5 linked regions of the Rattus norvegicus genome follow. The protein of the gene in region 4 purifies or fractionates together with the protein of the main gene of each other region. This does not show direct contact. Links are inferred from orthologs where the notes say so. Each region holds a gene or a part of one and is shown on either strand. Other genes may lie near its edges.

Region 1 (6,089 bases), on a different chromosome or scaffold from region 4:
CTGTCTCTCTCTGTCTCTGTCTCTGTCTCTGTCTGTGTGTGTGTGTGTGTGTGTGTCTGTCTGTCTGTCTGTCTGTCTCTGTTCCGTTACCTTGGTTACCTTGTAATTTAAGTTAGGCCTAGTAAGATGTTAACAGCAATAAAAAGTAGCAATGCACTGTAAAGGCACACTATTAGCTTCCCTATCCTGAGGTATCAAGTCTAAGAATGAGCCATTACCAGCAATATAGGTTCCCCTAAAAAAATATCTACTCCTATCTTTCTATCTTCCTTTCTAACTTTTTGGCTCTGCCTCTCTGGAGTACCCAGACGGGACAAGCCATGACAGGTAAACATGGGACTATAGTCAGATCAAATAGTTTCAGGTTGCAAAAAAAGAAAAGTCTCCTATGCTTTACTGATATATCCCCCTTCCTTGTAAACCCATGGCAACCACTGGCCTATGTAGAATCTTCATAACTTTCCCTCATTGAAGATGTCATCTTTGAAATCATACATTGTAACATAGTTTTTTTTAAGATTGATTGTTATTACTTAGAAATACATAAAAACACACCAAATTCTTTTTTTTTTAATTCTGTAATTCATTTTAATGCCAAGTAGTAGTCCATTGTGGTAGATTTACTAGAGCTTTTGAAAGGTAACTCATTTGCTTTCAAGTTTTGGCAATTATGAAAAGCTGCTGCAAAAATTCAAACACAGTAATGGGAGAGATGGCTCAGTGGTTGTTCTTGCAGAGGACCAGGGTCTCAGCACTCACGTGGTGACTCACAACTATCCATACCTCCAATTCCAGGAGATCTGATGCCCTCCTCTGACCTCCATAAGCACCAAGCATGCAAGTGGTACACAAACATGCACCCAAAACACTCATACATAGAAAATAAACACTTAACTGTTTCAAATACAGGAGCCGGAACTATGAGTCAGCTGTTAAAAGCACATACTGATCTTACAAAGGACCTAAGTGTGGTTCCTAGACTCACACCAGACAGCTCACCTGTAACTCTAACTTCTGGGGACCTGATGCCTTTTTGTGGCCTCTGGGAGAATCTACACTCATATATACACACTCAAAAATAAAACAAAAAAAATTAAAGAAAAACAATGCTCAGGGTTTCAGAAAAGTGCTTGCCATGGCAACATATGAATCTGAGTTCAATCCCCAGCACCCTTGCAAAAACAAAAACAAACAAACAAAAAACTGGCTATGGCGACATTCCTGGAGTTGAAGACAGACACGCTCTTGCAGTTTACTGGGCAGACTGCTTAGTCCACTCCACAAGCTAAAGTCAAAAGTAAGACAATGTATGGAAAAGAAAAAGGTGAATTGTAAGGAGCTTCTGGAGGTGGGCTTCTGGCCTCCACATTATGTGCAGTTTTACACACACACACACACACACACACACACACACACACACACCACACGCACTCCACCCCCAAAATAACTCAAAACAAACAAAAAACCCAACTTAAGTACATGTGTTTATACAGTAGATGTATGTTTATTTGGGTACATACCTGTATGTGAAACTACTAAATCATATAGTAACCATAAAGGTTTTGCATTATTTGCAAGAATATAAGCGATTTTCAGTTATTGTATGTCTTCATTAACATCTGTGAATGTTTGGGATTTGGAGGCTTTTTATGTGTATTTGACATCAAATTTGAGTTCCCCTAGTGTCCTAGGACCTTGAGCATCTTCTTTTTTTTTTTTTTCAGAGCTGGGGACCGAACCCAGGGCCTTGCGCTTGCTAGACAAGTGTTCTACCACTGAGCTAAATCCCCAACCCCCTTGAGCATCTTCTTAATGCTTATTTTCATGGTATCTGGTAAAATGGCTGTTAAGTTTCTTAAAGTGGTGGTCGTGTGTAGGGTTTAGGAAGTCTCCTTAATCGTATCTTTTGTGATCCTCTCCCTCTCTTGACCTATTTTTTTTTCTTTGACAATAAGTGATCGTTGTATTACCGTGCAACTTCTTTCTTAATGACACCTGTAGTAACACTTATTTTTTTTTTTTGCTTGGGATTTCAATTACCACTTTAGAGAGCTACAAATTAATCACGTTTCTTCCTCGACAGCCTGCCGTGACAGATAAATGATAATTTGCCAGGGGTTCTGTCACCGCTGAACCCACAAAGCTTGCAAACGCCACTGTCGCACGCAGTGCTTGAAGCGGCCAAGCGGTCTCTGCCCTGACATACAGCGGTTATGACCGCCTCTTTTTTTTTTTTTTTAAGGGATCTCTCATAACTAGTTGTAAGGCAAAGCAAAACTACCATTCATTTTCCTAGCTGATTTCCGGGATCATCGCGCTGCAAACCTGGCTTTCTCGGTAGAGCTCAATGCCCAGCTTGGGAGGCTGGCGCTCGCCCGGGCACACCGCCCCGGGGCGTGAGCAGAGGCGGAGACAAGGGCGGTCGCAGCCTAGCACCACCCCAGTAGACCTTAGACGCGTAGGAGCGGCCCCCAGAGCGGCCTCCGGAGCGCGGGTATCGGTGCCGCTCACCTCCCGTGAGTCCAGCCGCTGTGCGAACCGGCTGAGGAGCGAGGTGGACGCGGTGGGAGGCGGTGAGGAGCCTGGGCGTGGCTGGACGCCACTTCAGCACCTAGCTCCGTCCGGTCCTAGTCAGGGCCCAGGTTCATCCCCGCCCGGCAGCCACAGCGAGGAGCAGCTCCTGACGTCCACCGCCCGTCCTTCCTCACCTGGGCCGGAGTACTTGGCCGCGGAAAAGCCTCTAAGGTAAGTCAGAGCCGGGGCCCGGGCCGCCGCTAGTTTCCTCAACAGCTGGATTCCCGGAAGGGGCGGGGGCCGAGCGATTTCTGCGCGTGGACCGGAGGGCGGGGCTCGTTGTTTCCGGAAACCGGGTGATGGGCGGGACTTCAAGCGTACCCGGAAATCGGAAAGCGCGGGACTTGCTGTCATCTAGCGGGAGGGTGGACACTTGAGGTAGTTTTAGCTCAAGTCGCGACAGAGAAGGTGGACATCTGCGCCGCGACCACGGTTACAGATCTCTCTTATTATTATTATTATTATTATTATTATTATTATTATTATTATTATTTTGGTAGGGATGACGGCTTATTGAAGCGTTAGTGCCCAAACTAGGTTACCTAAATGTAATCTATCAACCCTGGACCTACCAACTCTTTAAAAGGGTCTATTACTGTTGTACTTGGGGCAGTAGAAGGTTGCAAAGCAGTCAGTAGCTTTCATCTTTATCTTTGAGGCGAGCTGAAAAAGGAGTGATCCACAACCTCGACGAGAGACTAGTATCAAACATCCAAGGCTTCTCTGGTCCTCAGTAGCATTTGCTTTTGTATTGCTGCAGACACTCTCTGAATTGTGAAAAAGATAGGCCGCATTCTCCTCACCTAAACATTGGACAGAGTCTTCTGAGATTGGATGGTGCAGTCCAGGGTGACTCATTCATTGTCTCTTGCAGATCATTTGATTTCCTTGCTCTTTTATTTTGTGAAGCTGTTTTAAGAAATGCCACAAAAGACCTTCGGAAAGGTATTCTTAACACATGAAGACTCAGTGGCAGAGTGAACTTTGGGATGGAATGACTTAGTCGTGTAATTTTGTAACCACTGGAAAGGCCTGTTAGAAAGGTGAACCATCACAGCTGCATTGTATACAGAAATATACTAGCCTTATTTTAAGTAAAATTCGGGATGTTTTGTTTGTGTTACTGACAAAACAGTAGTAACAATTCTTAACTTTAATTTTCATTTTTCTCTTTCTTTGCTATTTTGCACATGATATTGAGCTTTCAGGATTGTATTAAGAAATATGTCCAAGGTAACAACTTACAAATTGGGCACTGTAGAAGTAATATTACTTCTTAGTGTGTGACTCCTTAATATCTTCAGTAGGATCTGGAAATTGAATCAAAAATAGTTTCCCAGGGTTGGGGATTTAGCTCAGTGGTAGAGTGCTTGCCTAGGAAGCACAAGGCCCTGGGTTCGGTCCCCAGCTCTGAAAAAAAGAACCAAAAAAAAAAAAAAAATAGCTTCCCACACTTTGGTTGGATATTATTCTGGCAGATGTATCTTATTATATAGACATGGATATAATACTTATTTTTTAAAAACATAGTTTTCCTAAGTTTTTAAAATTTAGTCAGTACACCCCCATATTTTTTAATGTAGAATATTAATTTAATCTGGGTAAGTCTGTATGATTTTGTTTGTTTGTTTATTGTTTTCGAGACAGAGTGTCTTTGTGTAGCCCTTACTATCCTGAAGCCAGTTACATAGAAGACCAGGCTGGCCTTGAATTCCCAGAGATCCACCTGCCTCAGCCTTCCTGGTATTTGGCTTGAAGGCTTGTGTCACTAAGCATAACTTTGTCTCAGACTCGAATCCTCAGAATACACAGCCATTGAGTTAAGGTGTAATTCTTTCAGAACGTAATTTTGTTATGAATGTAATTTGTGTTTATTATAGGAAATGTAATAAAAAATGTAAAGAGCCAGGAATGGTAATTACAGCTGTAATTCCAACACTGAAGCAAGAGGATCACAAATCTCAAGCCAGCCTAGGCACACACAAGACACTGACTTAACAAAAGTATACAGAAGAAAGGAACAATTTGCCTTACAATGTAAAATCAATGTTAGTGAATTTTTGGTGTCTTTCTCTATATTGTTTTTTTATTGCCATATAATCCATTTTATAGTTTATGATCTGTTTTATTATATCCTTTATTATTTAACAACTAAATAGTTCTTCTTTTAGAATTTTTTTACCACTTAACAATTGTTTACCATGTGTTTGGCTCTTCCAGGCACTGAGGACAAACAGGTTTTTTGGTTTTGATTGGTTTTGTTGGTGGTGGTGGTTTTGTTGTTGGTGGTGGTTTTGTTTTGTTTTTTGCCTCTGTACAGTTCATTAGGAACGATTTTAAAATAACTATTTGAGGAGAGACGTGCGAGCTCTGTAAACATCTCATAATAGGAAGACTTAAGATTGGAACCCAGGAAATGAGAGTACTCAGACCAGAAACTTCTAGTCTTCCTGACTAGGGGTTTAAAAGAATGTGGCTGGAGAGGGAGGGGTATATCTGAGATGAGGAAGACTGGGCAGGACTTCTTGCCCCAGAAAATGTATAGGAAAGGAGGAATTGGGCCTGGAACACCTAGTAATATTAACACCTTCTGTCTCCACACTAGTCCATTCTCAGTCTCATAGATTGTCTGTAGGGACCTGCTGGGTAGTCTCAATTCAGTCTTTAAGTGCTAATTTAACATGTAAGCAAGTAGGACTCTGGAGCTGTTTTCCACTTCATTTCCTTGGGGATGGCAGAGCCCCCATGGACAGCCTTTACTCAATGGGAGATGACCATTGTAGGTATACCCCTTGTCATTATACCTCCTTTTGAAGTGTTTTGTACACTTAGAAATGCACCTGTGTACACAGACCCACTGTGGATTCTCAGAGTCCTGGTGTTATAAACCTAACAACAGGACTTACCGTAGCTATAACTATGAAGCAGGCAAATGTATTTTCACATGTTACTTTCTCATAAAATTCCTTGCCAGTCCCAAGATGGGCTGTTATTTCCTTTCACAGATGAGGAAATGGAGGCTTAAGTAAGTTCCTTAAAGTCACGAGGCAAATGAATTAAGAGTTCATACTCTCCAGAGGAAGATCCTTGCTCTGCACTCCCTTAATGGTTCCTGCTAGCACGCTTCTAGTGCCTTCCTTACTCCTCAGCCTTCACTCCTTCATCTGGGCCACCTCCTCTCTTTGCCGCTGCCCCACTCCTAGTCATCTTCCTTGGCAGTGCCTGAGATGGAGAAGATCATTTGATGTGCCCCTCTGATATCAGCTGTGCTGTTATGCTGGTGTCCTCTAGGAAGCCTCTATAGAGTGTAGAAGATTCACATACCCAAGCATTCTGCCGCAAGCCACTAGACAAGACTATAGGCACCCTACCTTTGCTTGTGAGTTATTGTCTATTCCTTGAATAACTCTAAGATAAAGTGTCTGCAACTTGTAGACCTAGATGTTCCTAATGACAGAAAACTTGTCACCTAAATTATCCAAAACCTTTGACACAGTGTTAAGAGGATTCCCAAA
Region 2 (4,368 bases), on a different chromosome or scaffold from region 4:
GTGAAGGGTGTAGAGGAACGACAGAGCCCATGGACATGCTGGAGAGGACAGAAAGCCACACTCAAGTCTGAGAGGGGAGCTTGGAGGGCAGGCAAGCAGTCCGAGATTCAGCTGTGGACCTGGGCGCCCCTTGTGTGGGCTTGTGTCAGGCGAGTCAGTGCCACAGGAGATCTCATCGCCTGCCCTGCCATGCCCACTAATAGGAAAGCAGAGATCCCTGCCATGCCCACCAATAGGAAAGCAGAGATCCACTGAGTTTATTTTCTCAACGGTTTCTGCAGTGACCATAGTGAAGAACCCACAGCAGCTGGGCCCCAGGGTCACAAGGGATGCTGCGCTGGACATCAAAAGGTGACAGACTGAAATGAGCAGGACTGAGCTGCTGGCTTGGTCTCTCCACACCAGCGGCCTTCTCTGCTGTTTCCCCGGCAGTCCCCGCCCACCCCCGGCAGCAGCTGTGGTTGGTTGGGAAGCTACTGGCTTGCCATTGGCTTCCAGAATCACAGAGACTGTAACAAACCTTACACTAAACACTGTTCAGTCCTGAGTTGGGGGCGAGCCCAGTGAGGAGGGCCGAGTTCATTAGGACTCTCTTCCCTCCTTGTCGTGGCGTCATACGTGGCCTTCGGCCTTCCCTTCTCCCATGGTCTGACTCTCGTGTTTCTTGCCGGCCGCTCCTTCTACTGCCTTCTTGCTCAATGCTTTGCTGGCCTCTTCCTGAGGGGAAAGGAGGAGATGAAATGAATTAACCCCTGCCTTTCGGGATGGTTTGATCAGGTTTATGGCAAGTGTGCATGTGTGCATCGGGTGTGCACACTAGGAAGGAGGGGTGCCGCACTCTGGAGGGGCTTGTACCTCAGGCAGCTGTTGAATAACTAAGCCCTTGTGCTACTGGTAGCTGAAGATGGAGGCCAGACCTGGGACCAGAAGGAGGCTATGGGGCAAGAAGCTGGCCTGTGTTTAGACAGACCCACTGCCAGCGAGGCTCCCGAGGACAGCAGAGTGTGCAGTAAAGGCCACCACAGGGACACCTGTTTCCAATCCAAGCTGGATTCAGCTAGGAAGTATTTCTAGAAAAACAATATGGACGGGCTTAGGGTTTTTTTGAGACAGGGGTTTCTCTGTGTGTTCCTGGCTGTCCTGGAACTTGTTCTGTAGACCAGGCTCGTCTCGAATTCAGACAACTTCCTACCTCTGCCTCTACCTCCCAAGCTCTGGGATCAAGGTGTGTGCCACCACTGCCTGGCTGAATCTATCTTTTTAAAAATAACAACTCAGGGCTGGAGAGACGGCTCAGTGGTTAGAGCACTGGCTGCTCTTCCAGAGGTCCTGAGTTCAAATCCCAGCCACCACATGATGGCTCACAACCATTTGTAATGGGCTCCGATGCCCTCTTCTGGTGTGTCTGAAGACAGCTACAGTGTACACACATAGATAAAATGAATAAATCTTAAAAAAACAAAACAAAACCAACAACAAAACCAAATGAACTTGGTTTGGTTCAGATGCCTGTAACCCTAGAACTCATGAGCCAGAGGCAGGAGGACCTCTGAGATGAAGCTAGCCAGGTCTACAGAGAAACCCTGCTTTAAAAACAAAGCAGAACAAGACGCTGCTCCACCTCAGGGAGTCGGCCTCTCAGCTCTCACAGAGGGGCCGCGGGGCCTCCCAGTCCATGCCTCTGGCCACAGTGGAGTCCCTTCCTAAGTCTTGTCTCTCCCGACCTGGCCCCAGGTTAGTGCCCTCCCGGCCCAGGCAGCGGGCACACCTTGGCATCCTGCTCTGCGAACTTCTTGAACATGTTGGCGTACACCCTGCGGTCCCGCTCGTTGTGTTCCTTCGCCTTCCTCTGGCACACGGAGATCTGCAGTCTCGCTGCCTTGTTCTGAGGGTTCACCTCCAGTACTTTCTCAAAGTCCCCTTTGGCCGACTCGAACTCGTTCATGAGCAGCTGGGCTTCGCCCCTCCTGTACAAGCCTTTCTCGTTGGCGCTGTCCAGTCCAAGGGCCTAGGGACAGACGGTCACAGTTCAGAAGGGATGCCGTGACCCTTGTCGCCTCAGTGCTGAGGCAGTGCACTCACACCAGATAAGCAAGGACACCCAGCAATCAGACAGTGGCCAAACTCACTGGTTTCCAGTATTTAGTATAAAATGTCTCCAGTTCAGTGTCAAAGCCTTGACGTCCAGATGGTGTTGAGAGCTTCTGATTGGAACCGGAGGCACCTCACCAGTGAGTCCTTACTGAACTAGGGGTCACCTATGAGGTATTCTGCCTATCAGATATGTACATTCTGATTCACAACAGTAGCAAAGTTACAGTTACAAACAGGGTCTCACTATATAGACCAGGCTGGCCTCAAATGCAGTGATCCACTCGTCCCTGCCACCTGAGTGCCTGGCCCTAGAGATGTCACCTGTGTTTAAAAGGAATATCTTGTCTCTGGGTCTCTGTCCTGAGTTCGAGGAAGTGAGTGGCTTTGCTCTGCCCTGCCCTTCTGCACCTCCTGCCCATAGGACCAGGGTCAGCCAAACACAAACAGAATCCTTTGAACCAACTACAAGCCAAATTGTTCTCACAATGTGTATGTGTGGATGTATCCGTGTGGATGTAGCTGGATGCCCATCTTTGGTGTCATTCCTCAGAGCTGTCCACCTTTTTTTGAGACAGGGTCTCTAACTAGTCTGGGGTTTACTGAATAGGTTAGGCTGGCCAGCCAGTGAGCCCTGGAGATTTGCCAATCAGCTTTAGCCAACACTGATATTACCGTCTCAGGCAGCCTGGAATTAGAGTGTGAGTGTGTGTGTGTGTGTGTGTGTGTGTGTGTGTGTGTGTGTGTGTGTGTGTGTGTGTGTGTGTGTGTGTGTATGTGTGTGTGTGTGTTGGACCCCTGGAACTCGAGTTACAGACAACCATGAGCCACTGTGTGATTGCTGGCAATGCAAGCAGCACCCCTACCCACTGGGCCACCTCTCTAGCTCCTCATGCGCAGCTTTTACGTGGGTGCAGGGACAGAAGTCAGGTTCTTACGCTTGCGCCATAAGCGCTTCACTCACTGAGCCATTTTCTCCGCCCCTAAAAGTTTAGATGTGCTCATCTCTAGCACTTGTACTTCTAGTGATCTATCCTGTGGGAGCGCCCTAAACGCGTGTGGAGAGAGACACTCAACAGCTTTCTCTTATGACTCTTAGGATTATTATGAACCTTATAATAAAAACAGACATGGACACTCTTCCTGTGAGGGTCAGTGAAGTAAATCCCCACGATTCACAGAATGGTCCTTAAGGGGTTGAGTCTTTTTACACCAAGCACAGTGAGGGAGAGCCACAGAACATACTCAACTGATGTGGAAAGAGTCCTGGTTCTACATGGTAACTATGTCCCACCTTTCTCTAGTTAGTTCTTATAGTACTTTGCATTCTGGGGTTGTGTATTATATAAGTGTGTGCATGCATCTGATGTATCTGTGTATGTGTACACACACACACACACACACACACACACACACACACACACCAGAGGACAGGTGTTTTTTCTTTTACTCTCTATTTTCTTTTGAGGTCTTACAACATATAAAATGTCTTTTTTGCCATTTCACATTTATTTTTTGTTGTTCTTAAAAAATGTACTACTGGGCTAGAGAGATGGCTCAGTGGTTAAGAACACTGGCCACAGGTCCTGAGTTTAATTCCCAGCACCCACATGGTGGCTCACAACCATCTGTAATGGGATCTGATGCCCTCTTTTGGTGGACAGCTACAGTGTTTTCATATACATAAAATAAATCAATAAATCTTTAAAAAAATACATATTATTACGTTGGTGTCTGCACATGTACTGTACGAATGTTATTCCACTTGTCATGCACTTGTGTAGGAGTGTGGAAGAGGCCAGAGTTCTTCTCTTTCCCACGTAGGTCCTAGGAATCAAAGTCATCAGGCTGGGTAGCACGTGCCTTTCCAGTGAGCTATCTTCACAGTACTGTTCTGAGACAGAACCTGTTATCCCAGGGCAGCCTTGAACTCTCACTTTTCTGTCTTTGCCTCCTAAATACCAAGACCATGGCATTGATCCCTGTGGTTCTTTGAATAAGGATGGCCAACAGGCTTATATATCTGAACACTTCATCACCAGGGAATGGAACTGTTTCAAAGAATTAGAAGGACTAGGGATCAGGAAGTGTGGCTTGTTGGAGGAAGTGTGTCACTGGGGGGAGGCTGTGTGGCCCAGTGGTAGTGTTTGCCTAGCATGCACAATGCCCTGGGTTCAATCCCCAGCGCTCTCTCCCTGTCTACTCTTAGACCCAGAACCTGGGTAAAGAGGGCCACCGATGAAGACTGTTATCAACACTGTGAGCAGTTTTGTATAA
Region 3 (5,995 bases), on a different chromosome or scaffold from region 4:
CTGCCACCCAGAGCCAAGGCTGCTGTTGACTGGCTTTCCCTAAGAACTGCCCTATTACTTTCCCTTGAGGACTTCCTGTATTCAGAAACGAAAATGAAAGCAATACCATGTGAACCCAGGAAAAGCCAAGCAAAGCTGGAGACTGCATGTGTGAGGTTGGTGGGTACCATTGACTGCCTGTTCAATCGCACTCCGAGGGTTTCTCTGTGTAGCCCTGGCTGTCTTGGGACTCCCTCTGTAGATCAGGCTATCCTTGAACTCTTGAACTCAGAGATCTACCTGCCTCTGCCTTCTGAGTGCTGGGATTAAAGGTGTACACCAATATGTTTGCACATATACACCCACACACCCCACTTTTTTTAGACAGGGTCTCACTGTATAGCCCAGGCTGGCCATCACTATTTTTAACACCAAAGAGACCAGGCTGCTGAGGCACTAGGAGGGCATGTCCTCACCTGATGCTCTCTGCATTTGGATTAGGGGCTCAGAAGCTGAGTTTTCAGTCCAGCAATGTGGCTTTGAGGGTAAAGGCATTTTCTGCCAGGCCCTATGATCTGAGTTTAACCTAGAAACATACATAAGGTAGCAAGAGAGAGCCAGTTCCTGCTATTTGTTCTCTGATTTCCACACAAGATCAGTGCATGCATATACACACAAATATATATATATATATATATATATATATATATATATGTATTTTTTTTAGGACTTAAAAAACAAAAACAAAACAAAACAATAGCTTCAATAGCCAGGTGTGGTGGTACACACCTTTAATTACTAAGGCAGGTGGATCTCTCTTAGTTCAAGGCCAGGCCAGTCTACAAATTGAGGTCCAGAACAGACAGGACTGTTACACAGAGAAACTCTGTCTCAAAAAACAAAAGTAAAAGAAAAACAAAAAAAGCCTCAGCTAGAGAAGTCTGCCAAAAAAAATAAAATCTAAGGTGCTGGAGAGATGACTCAGCAGTTGAGCGCACTACTGACTGCTCTTCCTGAGGACCAGAGTTCAAATCCCAGCACCCACGTGGCAGCTCACAACTGTCTGTAACTCCAAGACCTGACCCTTTCACATAGAAAAACATTCAGGCAAAACAATAATGCACACAAAATAAAGGTAAATGAATTTTTAAAAAAAGATTTAAAAACAAAAGTAAAACCAAGTCCTGGGGCTCTGCGTTCCATTCCAGTATCTCTTAAGTATACTGGGAGTCTGTGACTACAGTACTTGGGAGACTGACACAGGAATCAGGAACTTAAAACCATCCTCAGATACACAACCAGATTAGGGCCAGCCTGAGCTACATGAGGCCCTATGGAGAAAAGGAGGAAGAAAAAAAGAAATCTTCCTCCAGCCTTGAATGGCCGCTCCAGTCTCGGAGAGCACTATGCTGGCCCATCCCACTTCTTGTGACAACTGAGCCCAAACCCCAGGTCTTACTCACCTCCCCGAAGTGCATGTAGATATACTCCCGAGCACGCTGGTGCAGTTCCGTGCAGCCGATCTGCTCGGCGAAGTTGGCGATGCCGATGGCGTTGCTGGGGTCCAGCTGCTGCACGAGGAAGTCGCTGCAGGCTCGGACCACGCTGTCAATCTGGTACATGACTGCCCCGTTCATCACATGCAGCACACACTTCTCGCCCACGGAGATGGAGGCCGTGTAGGCGAACTCAATTAGCCTCTCCATGACCTTGGGGTGGATGCCTTCAATGGACACCACCTCCATGCCCTGCTCCCGAAGCCCGTTGGTGAACATAGCTTTAAAGACTGGGCTGGAGGAGGCCAGCACCACTTTGTGGGCCATGAATTGGGCAGCTGGGATGTCCTCATATTTGACCTGCAGGGTCACGTCACAGAGCTGCTGGCTCAGCCGAAGCTCGTTCATGATGCCAAAAGCCTGCTTGGTGTGATCCTCTAGTGTGTAACTGAAGGTTCGGTTACCATCCTGCGAGGGCGTCACCTCCGCCTTGCACTCCGTGGATGCATACATCACCGCGTCCCCTGCCCCCTCCGGGCACTTTGACCACAGGGGCAGGAACTGGCTGCTGCGGGGAGCCCCGCTAGGCTTGGGTTCGGGCTGCATGGGGTTCCTGATGACAAGATACAGTTCCACCACTAGCGATTAGGGGCCTGGAAGGAGGGAAGAGTACAGGGCTGGATTAGGCCAGACCCTGCCACATTTTTTTTTTGTTTGTTTGTTTGTTTCTTGTTTTCTTTTGAGACAGGGTCTTAGCCTAGGCTGGCTTCAAACTCACTATGTAAACAAGGCTGTTTGCTGTTTCCTCCCGTGTACTGGGACTACAGTTTGTGTCACCATATCTAGCCAAGCTTTAATTTTTTTTTTTTTTTTTAGACTAAGCAATGATTTCTAGAGCAGTTTTTGTCAAGCCAAGTGAACTGGACACACCCGGCTCCATTCAAACTGACTTCTTCTCAAATCACCGGCCGTTCCTTTTCCTGCTCAGAATCACCCAATACCTATCCCAGAGCCCAAGAGTGGAAACCCAGCTCCTCAATGGCCTGTAAAACTCCACACCCCCTTCTAGACCTCTTCACTCAGTTCCAGCCATGCTTCCCTTCCCTTCATCCGACATGTCAAATCCCTTTCTTCAACACCTCACCAAAATTTACAGAGCCTGCCATTTATACTTGCAACTGTTCTGAGCTCCAGGGACACAGCAGGAAGACAGAAAAGGCCTGAAAATAAAGCAAGGTCTGTATAGAAAACACTAGGCGAGCACCAAGGCCCTGGGCAGAGTGTGCAGCCTCTGGAACACCCACGGTGAGGGATTCAGGAGACCCTTGGAGACCTGGGGCCAGGACAGGAGTTATGCTTTCAAAGGAGATGTGGGGACACAGAGAGGGCCTGCAGCTGGCTCCCCAGGTTCTGGGGCTCAGCCTGGAGTCGCGTCCCCCAGTGTTATGTCTACTAGGTCACCATGGGGGGGACGACGATGAAATGCTCCAGGGGCCCCAGTAAGTGAGCGACTGTCACGCGTGACCACACTGCCGGAGCTCGGGCCTGGCATTGCGCAGAGGGCTGAGCAGCAGCCACCCGGTACCCGGTGCCTGCTCCAGCGGCCTCCCTAACGCTCGGAGGCGCAGCCCTGACGCCTGGAGAGCCCGCAGGGCCTGGTCCCGGGCCGCGGCCCGGAGCGGCGCACTCACCCCGCCATGGCCGCGCTCTGCCTCCGCCTCCGCCGCGCGGGTCACGGTGACTAAGCACAGCGCACCACCCTGTCACAATAAGAGTCCCGGGGCGCCGGCCGCGGGCGACCCCTACCCTCGACTCGCCTCGGCCACCACCCTACGCGGGTGCACGGGCTGGGCGCGGGTGCGCACTTGGAGGGGTCACGCGCTTCCCCCCACCGCGTGCACGTCCCCACGCGCGACCGCGGGCGGCGCCCGGAGCTGGCTCCCCACCGCATCCTCCGCGGGCGCTCGCTCACCTCCGTCCCACCCCCCCGGGTGTCTCTGTTGGTGCCACGCGTCCAATCCGCACCGCCGGGCCGCCACGCGCCGCGCTTCCGGGAGGAGCCGAGGGCAGCCAGGGGGCCTCGGATCGGGGCAGCGGTGCTGCGGGGTCCCGGGCGGCACGCGTGGGAGGAGCGGGAGGGCGGAAACAGGCGGCGGGCACGCAGAGGCGGTTCCAGCCCTTCCTGCAGGTGCCGGGCGGAGGGAGCAGGGCGTGGGTCAGGGCGGCCCTAGGAGCCTGCCTCCGGGTTAGGCTGTCCAGTACGCCTCTAGCTGAACCTGCCCCAGCGGACCCTCCCACACCCTACCCGGCCCAGCCAGACCTATGTACCTGGTTGAGATACAGATCTTCCTTTAAAATAACTTTTTAATGGTTTCTATTTCAATTCGCATTTTACTTTATGTGTGTGGGTGTTTTGCCTGCGTGTATGTCTGTGCCCCGTGGGCGTGCAGTGCCCCCTAAAGTTACAGGTTATCCACCCTGTGGAGAGGGGGAATTGAACTCTGGTCTTCTGCAAGAGCAACAGGTACTCTTAACTGCTGAGCCAGCACCCCAGCCTTATAACTTCTTTTTTGAGAATGGCCTCATTACATAGCCCTGGCTGGCCTCTGCCTCTCGCTCTGCCTCCTGCGTGCCGGGGTGAGGGGGAGTGGGGGGGTGGGGGTTTAAAGGCTGTGACACCACGCAGGGCTTTGTGTACATTAATTTATTTGTGTGTATGCTTGTGTGTAGAGGTCGGGGGATGACTGGCAGAAACTGATTCTCTTCCCCTATGTGGAGCCTGCAAGGTGCAACAGCAGCCCACTTTCCTCTCTCCTCTCTCTGTAGTCATTTTTTCATGAGGAGAGGTGTGGCATTCATCTGAGGGTGTTGGAGAGTTGGAATGCCCAGAATTGCCTTTCTTTGCATTTCTCATTATATATATATATATATATATATATATATATGATAAGAGATTCTTATTTGCTACAAAGGCATTTATGAGAGAAAATTATTTTCTTGACCTATAAGATTTGGCCAATTCTGGCAACTAAGTTCCATCCCTGTTTCTCACGTGGTAGTAAAAAACTTACTCCTCCAAGTTGTCCTCCAACCTCCACATGCACACATAAATTAATTTTGGAAAATAAAGTTATTATTGGTGCTGGAGAGATGGCTCAGTGATTACAGCACTGACAGCTCTTTCAGAGGACCCAGGTTCAATTCCCGGAACTGGTATTAGGGTCAAAATGAACGCCTATAACTCCAGTTACAGGGGATCCCATACCCTTTTCTGGCTTCCACAAGCACCACAACCATGAAGACAAAACACCCATACACATAAAATAAAGATAAATAAAAAAATTTAATATTATTTGACTGACTGGTGCAGACAAGATGTCATTTTTAGCCCAGGCTAGCTTTGAACTCTGTCTCCTGTCTCCATCTCTCCAATGGGATTACAAATGTGTATTCTGGGTTTTTTCTTTCAATTTATTTTTAATTTCATGTTCATTGCTGTTTTGCCTGCATGTATGTCTGTATAAGGTGCATACTGGATCCCTTGGAACGGGAGTTACAGATGGTTGTGAACTGCCATGTGGGTTCTGGGAATTGAACCCAGGTCCTCTGGGAGAGCAGCCAGTGCTCTTAACTGCTGGGCTATCTCTCCAGCCCCAGTTTTACTCATATATGTTTGAGGCTGGATTTCACTTTGTAGCCCAGACTGGCCTTGAGCACACAGTAATTCTCTTGCCTCAGTCTCCCAAGTGCTGGCATTTTTAATATAGACGCCACACTTTGCTATATAATTTTAAGTAATTATTTTATATATTTATCATCTGAATAAAGGAATGTCCGGTGGAAATGATGTTGATCCGTGTGGGAAGTTCCTGGAGACACCACATGAACTCGACCTTTCCTATGTTCAATAAAACTGCAATTCCAGCCTTCTCCAAAGGTGGCGTCTCACCACACTCAGCTATGATGTAGGTGTTGGGATTCCTGCCCTGGTGCCTAAGACCACAATTTCTGTCTCTCAAAGTCAAGCCTCCAGGCCCCATGAGCTGGCTGTGGAGATTTATCAAGGCTCATTCACACAGGTACAGCCATGATTATATAACAGTTTAACTGTCAAAGGACTCGCCCAACTCCTACATTTTTTTTGTAGGCTTCTGACTCAATAGCTGGTGGTATTGCTGTAGTGTGAAATACTATCCAGCCAGTTAAAAGAAGCAAGATGGAGCTGGACCTGGAGATGAAGGCATGAAAATTTAGCTACTCTGGAAGTAGCTGAAGCAGAAGAATGACTGGTTGGATAACAATGAGACCTTGTGTGTGATGGTTTGTGTGTGTGGTGTGTGTGGTGCCCAAGGAGTGGCACTATCAGGAGGTGTGGCCATGTTGGAGTATGTATGTCTCTCTGGGTGTGGGCTTAAGACCCTCACCCAACTGCCTGGAAGTCAGTCTTCCACTAGCAGCCTTCAGAGAAAGATGTAGAACTCTCAGCTCCTCCTGCACCATGCCTGTCTGGATGCTGCCAT
Region 4 (5,943 bases):
CTTTACACATGAGCATTTAAACTTAGTCATGTCTTTAAGAATTCATTCTATGTAAGTAAAGACAAATTACGGATGGTGTCACCTCTTCATTTGTCTGCATGAAGCTCTGGGAACTGAGTTCCAAGATCACACATTCGACACACGGAAGTGACCTTAGTCTTACCGGCAAAGCTCAGTGCTACTTCGTAGGAAGAATGACTGATAACCCCTTGCCCTCTAACAGCCAGCACGTTCCCTACTTTCCATCATGCGATCACGGATCCCCTGGACTTGCCAGTCTCTTTCCCATTAGGGCACACCGATGAGGTAATAGCTGCAAAGGATCCTGGGATGTTTCCACGGTGCATTTGCCTCACGACTTTCCAGTCGCAATGAGGGTCTGTGATGCACACCAGAAATTGTGATCCAAATCCAAGAATTAGCAAGTGTCAGTCAGTCAGGATTCCAACCAAGTGCTGTGTGGTTGTGAGAATGAGTGGTTCCTTCCCCTGTTTACCCTCAAGAGGAGCTGCAGGCTGAGGCCCCGGGAGTTGTATCTTTCCCCTCTCTTTGTCTGCTGCAAACAGGAGCCTACCTGAAGTACAAATGGCTTTCGGCTGGGGATGTAGGAGTTGCCTAGGCAGCAAAGACTGTCAAGCCCGCACTGTGTCTGTCAGGAACCTAGGGAATTGGAGTGGGGTCATCTGCTACATTTGAGTATCCCTTAGTTTTTCCTTGGTGCTTCAAAATGGCTTGGGTCGATTGTGAAGAGCTAAAGAGTACCTACAGAGTAACTGGCTATGGTTTAGGACATGTCCTAAACTCTAGCTCCAACCAGAAGAAGCCACGGCAGGGCATATCGTCCGGATAGGAATAGATGCATGTGTTAACGGCATAGCCTCTTTTGATAGATTACCTAATTCCCTTGTGCTTCTGATTCCTCGGTTATAACACAGGAATTAGAGGTGCCAACACCAGAAGTAAAGCATGTAAGTAAGGTAAGGTAAAACAGACCCAGCAGGTAAGAAACCTACCCCGACCTTGACATGTAAGAGGTTTGCAGCAATGACCCTGGTTCTTGGGCCACATTTCTGACTAGGGCTCTTTCAGGCAATTTCTCTGTGATAGCTACAGACTATTCCCTTGCCTGTAGACAAGGGAAAGCCTATGAGGTAGCACGAAGATGCCTGATGCCATCTCGGCTGCATGCGCCTAGAGGCTGGGGACAGAGGCGCGTCCCACAGAAGGCATGCTGCGTCTTCCGATCTTAGGTGTGGGTTAAAGATTGCTTCTATGCACCCAAAGCAGCCCCGAGGCTACCCCAAGATCCGTCCATGAAGACAGCAGAGGACTTCCAGGTCTAAGCAGGCATGTTCCCCAGCCAGCACCACTTCAGCCAGACTCCTCCTGAACTCTAACCCCTACCCCCTCTATCCACCCAAGTCCTGTTTATTTTAACCCCTAAACCTCTTCAGTCTGCCTATTGCTCCCCATCATCACCACCACCAACCAAGCTAGTCTCTCACCTTGACCGCTTAATTTTGAGTCAAGACCTTGGTTTTAGCTGTTTAGGAAGGATTCCCTAGAAGGGTGGCCTCTTGTTTTGGTAAGTTTCCCAAGGGTTGCCCAACACCGGAATCCTAAAATGTAAAAATAGGCCTCTGGAGAGAGAGCACTTCCCCAGGTCTCTCAGGAGGTTGGGTAACTGGCCTGGCAGAAATGAAGACATTCTAAAGAGGTAGTTTTAAACATTGGATGCCAGAGAGATGGGAAATTCCCCAGAAATTTCATGGTGGGAGAGAGGAAAAACTACCAGCCAGAGGGGGAATTTGTCTTCTGGGCCACAGAGCTTGAACACACTCTCAGAAAATCTCACAGGATGACAAAAAAAAAAAAAAAAAAAAAGGACCTGTGGTAGGCTGGACCAGACTGCTTACATGTGCATATCCTTGGCGTTCTATTTGAACTTTAATCTAATGTTAGGATCATGGAGATGGATGTGGGAGGTTTGCTGGATCTGTCTGTCCCTCTTCCCAATGTGACCTCGCCGTGAATGAATCCCTTGTTTTCCACTATTTTAATTGACTTACTGAGGACCCAGCATAGGGCACAGGCTGTGACCCCCAAGTGTGACAATTACACTCACGTGCCCTGAGGTAAGTAAGTGTTCTCCAGCAGAGACATCACAAGCAACGTGTGCCTTTTAGGCATTATTACGAACCAATTACCCAAATTGGGTAAAACAATCTCATACAGTAAACAAGTGAGCTAAGAGAGTCCTGCCAAGAATCGCAGTGTACTTACCGACAGCCCAAACAAAAAAAAATTGGAAGACCAGAAACTTTTAACCTGAACAACTCATGCCAGACACTGAAGGGCTAAAATAATAGGAATAATAAGCAGATCCCAAAGCAAAATCAGTCCAAATCATTCCGCATTATAGGGGCTGCACATTCTCACCCATTAGCCTTAATCATACTAAGGGTGTTTTGTGCAGAACCATACTAGAAAGAAAGAAAGAAAGAAAGAAAGAAAGAAAGAAAGAAAGAAAGAAAGAAAGAAAGAAAGAAAGAGAGAAAGAAAGAGAGAGAGACAGAGAGAGAGACAGAGAGAGAGACAGAGAGAGAGAGAGAGAGAGAGAGAGAGAGAGAGAAAGGAAGGAAAAGAAAGGAAAAAAAGAAGAAAAAACCTTGGAGTTATTAACTACCTAAAAATACTTTAAATAGTTATTTAAAATGTTTTTATTTCTCTCATCTTTTAGCACTGCCTGTATTCTACAACATTTATCCCTATGTAATCTATCACGTGTTAGTCTAAATATTAGTAAATGTATAATTTTAAAATACTTGGAATGACAGCTTACTCCCCCCCCCCCGCCCTTCTAAGTATCAGGGTTATTAAGGTTTTTAAGACTCAGTTTAGCAGCTCACAGGTCCCCTTTGCAGTCCCTTTTCTTACACTCTCATTGGACCACGCCAAGGATAGGAGGGGATCCACCCATCCACACCAGGCCAGGACAGAAGAGGCGCCAAGACAGATCACCCGCCCTCCCCGGTGCCAGAGCCCTACCTGATTGTGCCACCGGATGACGTTTCCAAATCCCCCAGTTCCGAGGCGTTCTTTCATTTCCCAGGCCCCACATGTCTGGGTTGGGAGAGAAGGTGACCAGCTCATATCGATGCCCTCCCTGCTAACTCTAGAAGCAAGTAGGAAGAGAGGACAAGTTGAGAGTAAGAACACTGGAGCTCAAGAAGCAGGGGGAAGCAGCAGCGGCTGCTGCCTTCAAGGGGAGGCTGGGCTAGGAGACCGATTTAGTTAACAAATAAAAGTTGCTGCGGCCCGGCCCGCCGGCGGGTCCGCTCCGCACCGCACCGAGCGCGGTGCAGCCAGGGACCCCGGGGAGAAGCCGAGCGTGCACCCGGGCGAGCCGGTCCACCGGCCACGAGCCACCCTCGCGTGGGACTCACCTGCCCCGGGGGCCGCGGGGCCGCTAGCGACACCCGCTGAGGACATGAAAACTCGGGGTCCCCACGCAGCCAGCTCAGCGCCACTTCCTCAAACACTTCCTGCCCTGACGTCACGGGCACTTGACGGCTCTTAAAGGGGACGCGCGAGCCGCTCGCTGGGACTGAGCCACAGCCAGCCGTGGTGCTGGACCTGGCGGTGCAGGACCTGGCGGCTTGGAGAGTTCTTCACCCTGGCGCTTTTCTGACTGAGCTTGATCCCACTGGCTTAGGCAGTTAATCTGCTAAACCCCCACTAGGGCTGACTTAGGGACTGTCCTAAGAATTGCTTCCCTGTCCTCCCACCATTCGCCATTCGGAGCCCGAACGCTCCTGGTTCAGAAATAAGAATAAGAAACCACCCTTATGCTCCTCATAACACACCACCATCCCCCTCAAGGGGGGAGGGAGGAGAGGGAAGAGTACAAAGATAAAACAAAAGCTAGTGCTGTCTACCTAAACTGGAGTTTCAGCACTGGGAGCATAGGGAAATTACTTGTTATTAGGTCAAGAGCCTGGGTATTGCCACTCCACACCCCTACCAGCCCCCACCCCTGCCTCGAGCAAGCCAGGTTCAGCCACTCACCTTCCATAGCCTAATTCATGATACAAGTAGCGATGAAAGGCGGGTGAAGAAGTTTATTCAATGTGACTACATTGGGAAAAGACAAGAGATCCAATCACTCTCACCCGTACCTCTGCTAAGCCAAGTCCAATTTTGGGGTCCTGCCATGGGGTTTGGGTTTAAATGGAAGGGAAGAGGTATACATAACTAAGTATTTGTGCTCAAGGTATGTTCTGGTCCACCATCATTGATGAGGCTCCAGTCTCTCCTATGAGGTGGCATTTGTCAGAACCGTGTGAAAGCTCTGCCTGAGCCAGGCTCCTCTGCTGTTAGCACAAGGCTTCTGACATTGCTGGCTTTTTAGACAGCGGACAGCAACCAGCGAGGCCAACAGAGTCTTCCACGGATTGAATGATAAGTCCACGGTCTTTGTGGGATAACTAGGGAACTCTGAGAATTTGAACTCAGGAATAGAGCAAATAAAGCACTTCTCACTCTTTTATTGTTAAAGCGAGCAAAACACGAAGTGATGTTGACAGAGAGCTTTCGCAAATACAAGGACAACAAGGGAATACACTTGGTATTATGTCTTATCATCCTTGGACGTGTGAGGAAAAAAGCCAAGAATATTCCTCCCAGAACTTCGCCCCTCCCACAGAGATAACATGGACATACCCTTCGGTCCTCGCTTTCACCGCCATCCACTTTTTATAGGTTATGCAATTATTTCTAGAAGGCCACCTTGTGCGAAGAACATTCTGCACTCTGCCCTGACCACAGTTCTCAGGAAGGTCACAGCTTTCTTTCTTTTTTTTTTCTTTCTTTTTTTTCTTTTTTCTCAGAGCTGAGGACCGAACCCAGGGCCTTGCGCTTCCTAGGCAAGCGCTCTACCACTGAGCTAAATCCCCAACCCCAGGTCACAGCTTTCTTATACAGACTCGCACATGGCCTCAAATGATATTGGGGGGGGGGATTCCAATTTCTCGGAGTCTGTTATACCCACAGTTTAATAGGAAAAAGGAAGAGCTCAAGTGTCTACTTAGAACGCCTCCATTCCTGACAGGAAGATCTCGGTACCTCACTTCCGTTTTGAGGTAAGAGATTCCTCTACCTGAAACAAATATAAGCAGAAGTGGGAACCAAGGGTGCACCGTGTCATCCAAAGAAACAGCTCTCACCTCAAAGGAAAAAAAAATACATAGTTTATTCAGGAGCATAGATAAGAGATCACGGCATGGGAATATACATTTAGTCCCCGGATATAACGTTCCAATGTGGAAGCAGTTTTAAGAAGCTTTATAGTTTTACAGACCCAAGAAAGGAACAAATCAAGGCAGGTTTGAGACACACCAGTGGATACCTCAGAGAGATGATTACAGCAAGATGGGGAAGCTAGGTCATGAATCATCAGATGTTCTCCAATGACCTCAGCTTTTGGGTTGGTGGAAGATATTAGCTCGCTAAGTTAATAGATTTCAAAAGCTGGGGTATTTTTTTTTGTTTGTTTTGTTTTGTTTTGTTTTGTTTTTTTTGGTTCTTTTTTTTTTTTTAATCTCTTAGTCACATAAGGTTTGTTCTGACACAGAGGTGGGTAAGCAATGGGTGTTCCAGATAAGATAATTAGCCTCTGGACTTGTAACATTCCAATCTCTCCGTGGTGCTGCAGTTCTAACCAGTCTGTGCAAACATAGCCTCTTACAAGGAGGCCTCATGCACAGCTGTGTTTAGTTAGTGACAGGCAGCCACACCCAAGAACCATTGCTCCTTGGTTTGAGTTACCTCTGGGGGGAGCTGGCACAAGTAACTCCTTTCTGGCTTTGAGGCAGTCTTGCTGTGCAGCCCAGGTTGATCTAAAACTGACCATGCTCCTGCCTCGGTCCAGCTTTCCAAGTGCTG
Region 5 (6,081 bases), on a different chromosome or scaffold from region 4:
CATGCATATACATATCCTATACATATAATTTTAAGTGACTAAAAAAAATCATTTAAAAAACCTGCAACAAACACACACACACACTTCGAGAGGGACTGGCAAGATAGCTCAGCAGATAAAAGTGTTGCTTCTAAAGCCCGGAACCCACAGGGTGGAACAAAAGCTCTGTGGTATGCAAATAGCTACACACATATGCACACGAACACACAATAAACAAATGGAAAAAGCCAGAGAGGTTTCAAATTAGTAACTCAACGAAACACCTCAAGACCTTGGAAACAAGAGAACAAGCTAAACCCACAAGCAACAGACGGTGCGGTGATCTGAACGAGGTCGGCCCTCACTGGAATTCTTTGAGAAGGATTAGGAGGTGTGGTCTTGCTGGAGAAGCCATGTCAGTGACATTTCAGAAGCTCAAGCCAGGCCCAGTTTCTCACTGTCTGTTGGCCTGTAGCTTGTGGGTGAGGTGAGCTCGGCTCCTGCTCCAGCACTGCAGCCCCCATGTTCTCCACCATGATGATAATGAACTACGTCTCTGAAACTGTAAGCAAACTTCCAACTAAATGCTTTCTTCTAAAAGTTGCGTTGGTCATGATTTCTCCTCATAGCGGCAGAACAATAACTAAGACATATGGGAAAAATAATTAAGATCGGGGCAGAAATGAATAAAACAAAGCAGACCAAAACAAAAAGATTCACAAAGAATTAAATAGAGTTCATTACTAAGAAAAGATTTAAAACAACAACAAAAACAAAGAAACAAACAAACTAACCAAAAGAGAAAAAAACACACATTAATAAAGTTCGAGGCAAAAGGGGAGACATTACAACTGATTATCTATGAAATTTAGAAAAATCATATGAGGGGCTGGAGAGATGGCTCAGCGGTTAAGAGCACTGACTGCTCTTCCAGAGGTTCTGAGTTCAATTCCCAGCAACCACATGGTGGCTCACAACCATCTGTAAATAAAATAAATAAATCTTAAAAAAAAAAAAAACCGAAACAAACAAACAAAACACATGGATTTAAAAAAAATCGTATGGATATAACTGAAAAACTTTCATTTGACTCGCTTTTAGAATATAAAAAAAGAAAAAGAGATGAATTTCTAAATTTTTATTAACTAGTAAAAAGAGGCCCCCAGTGTACTTCACCTCTGATGGGCCTGGGGTCCTGGGCTTCGAGCGTCTGCAACTTCCACAGCTGACTCTTCTTGTTACACAGAAGTGTTCTCCCTGCTTCTAGTTCCATAGTTCCCACTGACAGCCATTAGAAACAAAAATAAAAACAAACAACAACACCAAAAACACCCACCTAAAATCAAAGGTTTTCCTACAGCCATCTCACCAAAGAGGCAAACACTGGGCCCTTCACCATGTGAACAAACCTGTGTACAAACACATAAGCTGCTTGCTGGGAATTAGTTAAAATACTGTCTGGTGTTAAAGAGAAGAAAGAGAAAAGAACTTTGAAACTGTGTTTTCTGCTACCTAACACAGAATAAAATAGAAGGTAAGTTTTCCGAGTAAAGGGCCCCAAGTTTACAGCTGAGGGAACTGAATAAGTCACCTGAAAGTACGTGTCCACCCTCAAGGTCTGGGCAAAGGTGACACCACCATATCAGGACTTTTAGCTGGCATTTGATTCTGCCAGGAACCTGGGCAACATTGGAGCAGCAGAATCAAATCCTGTTTGTGCCCCCAATCCACTCCCGGAGTTACTCCAGCATCTTCTGAAACCTCTGCCCCAGTTCCGGCTCACTTCTGAGAATTTCCTGTTCAAGACCACAAACTTCCTGAGGGTAGCAACTGAAGCTTTCACAGTAACACCTGAACCATACAACAGCAGCCTGAAAATCATCAATGAAAAGAAACTCTGTAAAGAGGCAATGGGTATGAACGCGGAATTCCCCGATGGGCACTAAGCCCACACAGATCATAGGATGCCACATTAAATCTGAGGAATGGTAAATAAAGCAAGAAGATGCACACTTTCTTATTAGAGAATTTTAAGTTGAAAGATTAAAAAAAAAAAAAAGCAGCCTGATCGAGTGAAGTGGCCATGCTTGCTGTACAGGCTGTGCGAGAAAGCCTGGTAGTTCCTGGACTTAACCCACAACAGAAATGACCAGGCAAAACCGAATAACACCTAAATGACCCCAGGTGTCACATTCCTCCCCACTGGGGAAGAGACACTGAGGCATACAGCCATGAACAGCAGCTCTTCCGTGTCCACATATGAGTGCTTGGGCCTTCTTAAATAGGATTTGTGAGAAAGGGGAGTGCTAATCACCCTAATGCTAATTCGATTACTACCATGCTTATTAAAAAAACGAAAGATTTGGTGTTGAGAAGGCTCAGGAGTTTAAGAGCACTCACTGCTCTTGCAGACCAACTGGGTTCAGTTTCCAGCACCCATATGGTGACTGAAACTGTCTGTAGCTCCAGTTCGAGAGATCTGTGGTCCCCCTGGACACCAAGTGCACATACATACATGCAGGCAAAACACTCATAGACATTAAATTAAAATAGAGATAAATACATTTTAAAGAATGAAACTGAGACCTAGCCAAGCAGAAGGCACTTAAAGGACTCCCTTTAAAAAATAGTAAGAAATAGAAATATGACAGTATGATAATTCCTCACTGGTACATAATGACAGTCACTGTTATAACTGCTTAGCATGTAGAGGAATTATTGGCCTCAGGCCACCTCTAGCTCTCCCTCTCCCCAGCCCCCTTGCTGTTTTTGTGGTTTTAAGTGCAGAGCTGGTACCCTGTCACTCCCACCCCTTGCACTGCCAGCATTCCTGAGGTGGAAGCAGAAAGATCAGAAGTTCAAGAAGCTCGAGGCCAGATCTTAGAGGGAAAAGGGTCAGGGAGAGGGGAGGGAGAGGGGGAGGGGAGGGGAAGGAGGTGGGGGAGAATGAGAGAATAGGAGGAAGGGAAAGGGGAAGGCAAAGAGAAGAAAGGGGAGAGAACAGGGGAGGGGAGATGTTGGAGAAGTAGAAAGGGAGAGAGGATTTGGGATTAGGGTTGGGGGACGTCTCTTAAGAGTTGGGAGGAGCCTGAAAATCGCCGGAGGAAACCCAACGCAAGTCAGAGAACACACAGTGATGCCACCGGATAATTAACCTGGCTCTAGGTCCTGAGCCGGACTACAAAGAAAGTTAGCCTAAGAAATCGAATAAAGTTTTCTGGAGGAGGCGATGACCGTACTCCGATGGCCGCATTTCGGGGAGCGTCAGGCTAGATTGCCACCGTTGGGATCGCGGCCTGCTGGTAGGAGAGGAACGAACCGGACTACTCTGCAGCACTCACCTGTCGCCGAGTCCCTGCCCCGCCAGTCACAGCTCCCCTCTCGGGCGAGCAACCCCTGGGAGACGCTCTCCGCCTCCGGCTGCCGCTAGCCGGGCTCACTTCCTGTTCCCTGGCCAGTCCGCCAAAGTTTACTATGGATTCAAAGAAGCGGAACTATAAAACACCGGAGGTCAGAGGGAGGAGAAAGGCAACTGAGAGAACTAAGGAGCAGAAATGACTAATTTCTGATAATCACTAGGTGGCATAGGCTGCTTCTCTCTGCCCGCCTTAGGAGCGCCCGCCAGTTCTTAAGGACACTTCCTCATTCCCCCCACCCTAACCCCACCTCCTTGCATACAGAAACCCTATACCTTGTGACTGGATGGGTAAACCAGCTCTAGAAATGTCAGCACTCAGGGAGGTAGGGGCAGGAAGATTAGAACTGGTAAGTTCAGGCTAGCCCAGAGACACTGGAAACACACACACACACACACACACACACACACACACACACACACACACACACACACACACACACACACAGTTCAAAGGAGCCAACTACAAGAAGAAAGTGATTTCGCACTGAATCAAAAAACCAGCAAGGGAGACAGAACGGAACTGCCTGGTTCACACTGTGAAGTTAGATGGTCAAGGGAGACGCTGAAAGAGAAATTTTACTTTGTGGCATGGTCTGAACTCAGCACTGAACTCATGGACCCGTCTCCCCACCAAGATCATATTATAAGGCTGTTCTTAGGGTCACACGGGCCTGCAGTTGAAGCGTTCGGAAGTACACACACTGGAGAAATCCTGGCTCCTAGCCGTGTTCTAGGAATTCATGGTAACATGTTTTTCCACAGTGCTGAGGCAGAATTATGGAGTCCAGAACATCAAGTAGATACAAAGACTAAAATCCCATTTTACCACATACTAACTTCCTTCCCAATACTTGGAGTTCAGAGTGAGCAGTGTGATGAACTACAATTTAAACTGGGCTACAGAGTAACAACTTGTCTGAAGCGGGGTGGGGGCGGGGTTAAAAGGCTGGTCAGGAAGTATGGTCAGGCTATAAAAAACCTCAAGGCTGCTCCCAGAGACTCACTTTCACAACCTCCCCCCAGGTACCGCCACTAGCAAGGGACTAAGTGCTCAAACCTACGGGGGACATTTTGTCAAACCACACCAAAACAGTGTTTCACAAAACCAGTGAAATCTGGTTAAACCAGACCAGTATGTCACCAACACAATCCAGCTGCTACCTGGAGGGTTCCCGAGTGAGGGATGCGTCTGCTAAAGCCACCAGATTGTAATCCAAGACCCATACGAATGGGCCAGTTGTGGTAGATACTTCGTAGTCGGGCTACCCCACCACAGCAGGTATGATTATTTATTGCTGATGAGCAATTAAAGAACAGGGTCAAATGATTAATGAGAGGAGAGCAAAACAGCACCCTGGACAGCACACAGCACACGAGCCTTCTGGGTCTCGGTCTGGAAAAGGTATAATCAGCTGTTCTGTGCATTTGATCATATTGTCTGACTGCCTTACAATTGCTACTGCTGTGAAGAGACGACAAGATCAAGGCAACTCCTATAAAGGACAACATTGCACTGGGGCTGGCTTACAGTTTCAGAGGTTCAGTCCATTATCATCGGGGTGGGAAGCAGAACAGTCCAGCAGACATAGTGCTGAAATAGAAGCTGAGAGTTCTACATCTTGATCCAAAAGCAGCAGGAGACTGTCACTAGGCGTGGCTTGAGCATATATGAGACCCCAAAGCCCACCTCCATAGTGACACTTCCTCCAGCAAGGCCACACCCACTAACAGTGCCTGTCCCTATGGCCAAGCATTCAAACACATGAATCTGTGGGGGCCAAACCAATCCAAACCATCACACCAGCTCTTCTTCCAACTGTACAGGGTCATTTTGCAGGAAATCCATCAAGGACACCCCATCCCTTTCAGTCCTGTTCTGGAAATTCTCACAGATGAGAGACTAAAACAGTTACTAAACAACATACCTTGGGGACACTAGATCCCTCCTTCACTTACCCCTTGGGTGAAGAGCATAGATGTTTTTGCCACAAGAATGTCAAAGATCACCACTTACTTGAGAATTCTAATCCAACATTGTCCTTAAGGCAACCATACTGTTCTGCCTCAGTTATTCCAGTGAGACAAAAACCAATTGCCGAAGAGAAACTAGCTGGGTCACCAGAGGGATTGAGCCAGAATTAGAGTTCATCTCCGTGGCAGACGGAGAGAAAGGACACCTCCCCTCATATTAAGTTTGGACCGTTCAACCCAGTAGGAGGGAAAGAGTCCCAAAAGCAGGCAAGAATCAAAGACAGGCCTGGTTCCCACTGTTGGGAGTCCTACAAGACCAAGCTGCAAAAGCGTAACACACGCAGAGGGCCTAAGTTGGTTCAGTGTCTGTGAGTATGAGTGTCTATGGGGCCGGGCTAGTTGGATCTGACTTTTCCTGTTTGTTTTGTTTTGTTTTGTTTTGACTCTGAATAATACTCCATTGTGTAAATAAAGCACATTTTCTTTATCCATTCTTTGTCCAGTGTCTCTGGTTTTATGTTGAGGACTTTGATGCACTTGGACTTGAGTTTTGTGCAGGGAGGTAGATGTGGATCTGTTTTTGTTCTTCTACACGCTGATATCCACTTAGAGCAGCACCACTTGCTAAAGGTGCTTTCTTTTTTCCGTTGAATAATTTTGGATTCTTTATTAAAAACTGGGTGTCCATAAGTGTGTGGGTTTACATCTGAGCC

Evidence for each region.
Region 1: the proteins of Ikbkb (region 4) and Ripk1 fractionate together in Homo sapiens (co-fractionation; 3 studies listed by BioGRID, with this or other methods). This does not show direct contact. The link is inferred for Rattus norvegicus from reciprocal best matches to the Homo sapiens genes IKBKB and RIPK1.
Region 2: the proteins of Ikbkb (region 4) and Fkbp5 purify together in Homo sapiens (affinity purification with mass spectrometry; 3 studies listed by BioGRID and IntAct, with this or other methods). This does not show direct contact. The link is inferred for Rattus norvegicus from reciprocal best matches to the Homo sapiens genes IKBKB and FKBP5.
Region 3: the proteins of Ikbkb (region 4) and Keap1 purify together in Homo sapiens (affinity purification with western blotting; 7 studies listed by BioGRID and IntAct, with this or other methods). This does not show direct contact. The link is inferred for Rattus norvegicus from reciprocal best matches to the Homo sapiens genes IKBKB and KEAP1.
Region 5: the proteins of Ikbkb (region 4) and Casp8 purify together in Homo sapiens (affinity purification with western blotting; 3 studies listed by BioGRID and IntAct, with this or other methods). This does not show direct contact. The link is inferred for Rattus norvegicus from reciprocal best matches to the Homo sapiens genes IKBKB and CASP8.

What each region holds. Positions count from the first base shown.
Region 1 is NC_086035.1:31,073,522-31,079,610, reverse strand, and holds the start of Ripk1 (receptor-interacting serine/threonine-protein kinase 1), read left to right. Parts: upstream 1-2,443; 5' UTR 2,444-2,745; exon of another isoform or gene 2,746-2,800; intron 2,801-3,448; exon of another isoform or gene 3,449-3,617; intron 3,618-6,089. UniProt on the Homo sapiens protein: Serine-threonine kinase which is a key regulator of TNF-mediated apoptosis, necroptosis and inflammatory pathways.
Region 2 is NC_086038.1:6,460,318-6,464,685, forward strand, and holds part of Fkbp5 (peptidyl-prolyl cis-trans isomerase FKBP5), read right to left. Parts: intron 2,009-4,368; coding exon 1,769-2,008; intron 718-1,768; coding exon 613-717; 3' UTR 1-612. UniProt on the Homo sapiens protein: Immunophilin protein with PPIase and co-chaperone activities. Component of unligated steroid receptors heterocomplexes through interaction with heat-shock protein 90 (HSP90).
Region 3 is NC_086026.1:28,050,320-28,056,314, forward strand, and holds the start of Keap1 (kelch-like ECH-associated protein 1), read right to left. Parts: upstream 3,724-5,995; 5' UTR 3,448-3,723; intron 3,307-3,447; exon of another isoform or gene 3,167-3,306; intron 2,129-3,166; 5' UTR 2,082-2,128; coding exon 1,443-2,081; intron 1-1,442. UniProt on the Homo sapiens protein: Substrate-specific adapter of a BCR (BTB-CUL3-RBX1) E3 ubiquitin ligase complex that regulates the response to oxidative stress by targeting NFE2L2/NRF2 for ubiquitination.
Region 4 is NC_086034.1:76,019,617-76,025,559, reverse strand, and holds the start of Ikbkb (inhibitor of nuclear factor kappa-B kinase subunit beta), read right to left. Parts: upstream 3,530-5,943; 5' UTR 3,447-3,529; intron 3,176-3,446; 5' UTR 3,154-3,175; coding exon 3,049-3,153; intron 1-3,048.
Region 5 is NC_086027.1:67,755,549-67,761,629, reverse strand, and holds the start of Casp8 (caspase-8), read right to left. Parts: upstream 3,610-6,081; 5' UTR 3,321-3,609; intron 1-3,320. UniProt on the Homo sapiens protein: Thiol protease that plays a key role in programmed cell death by acting as a molecular switch for apoptosis, necroptosis and pyroptosis, and is required to prevent tissue damage during embryonic development and adulthood.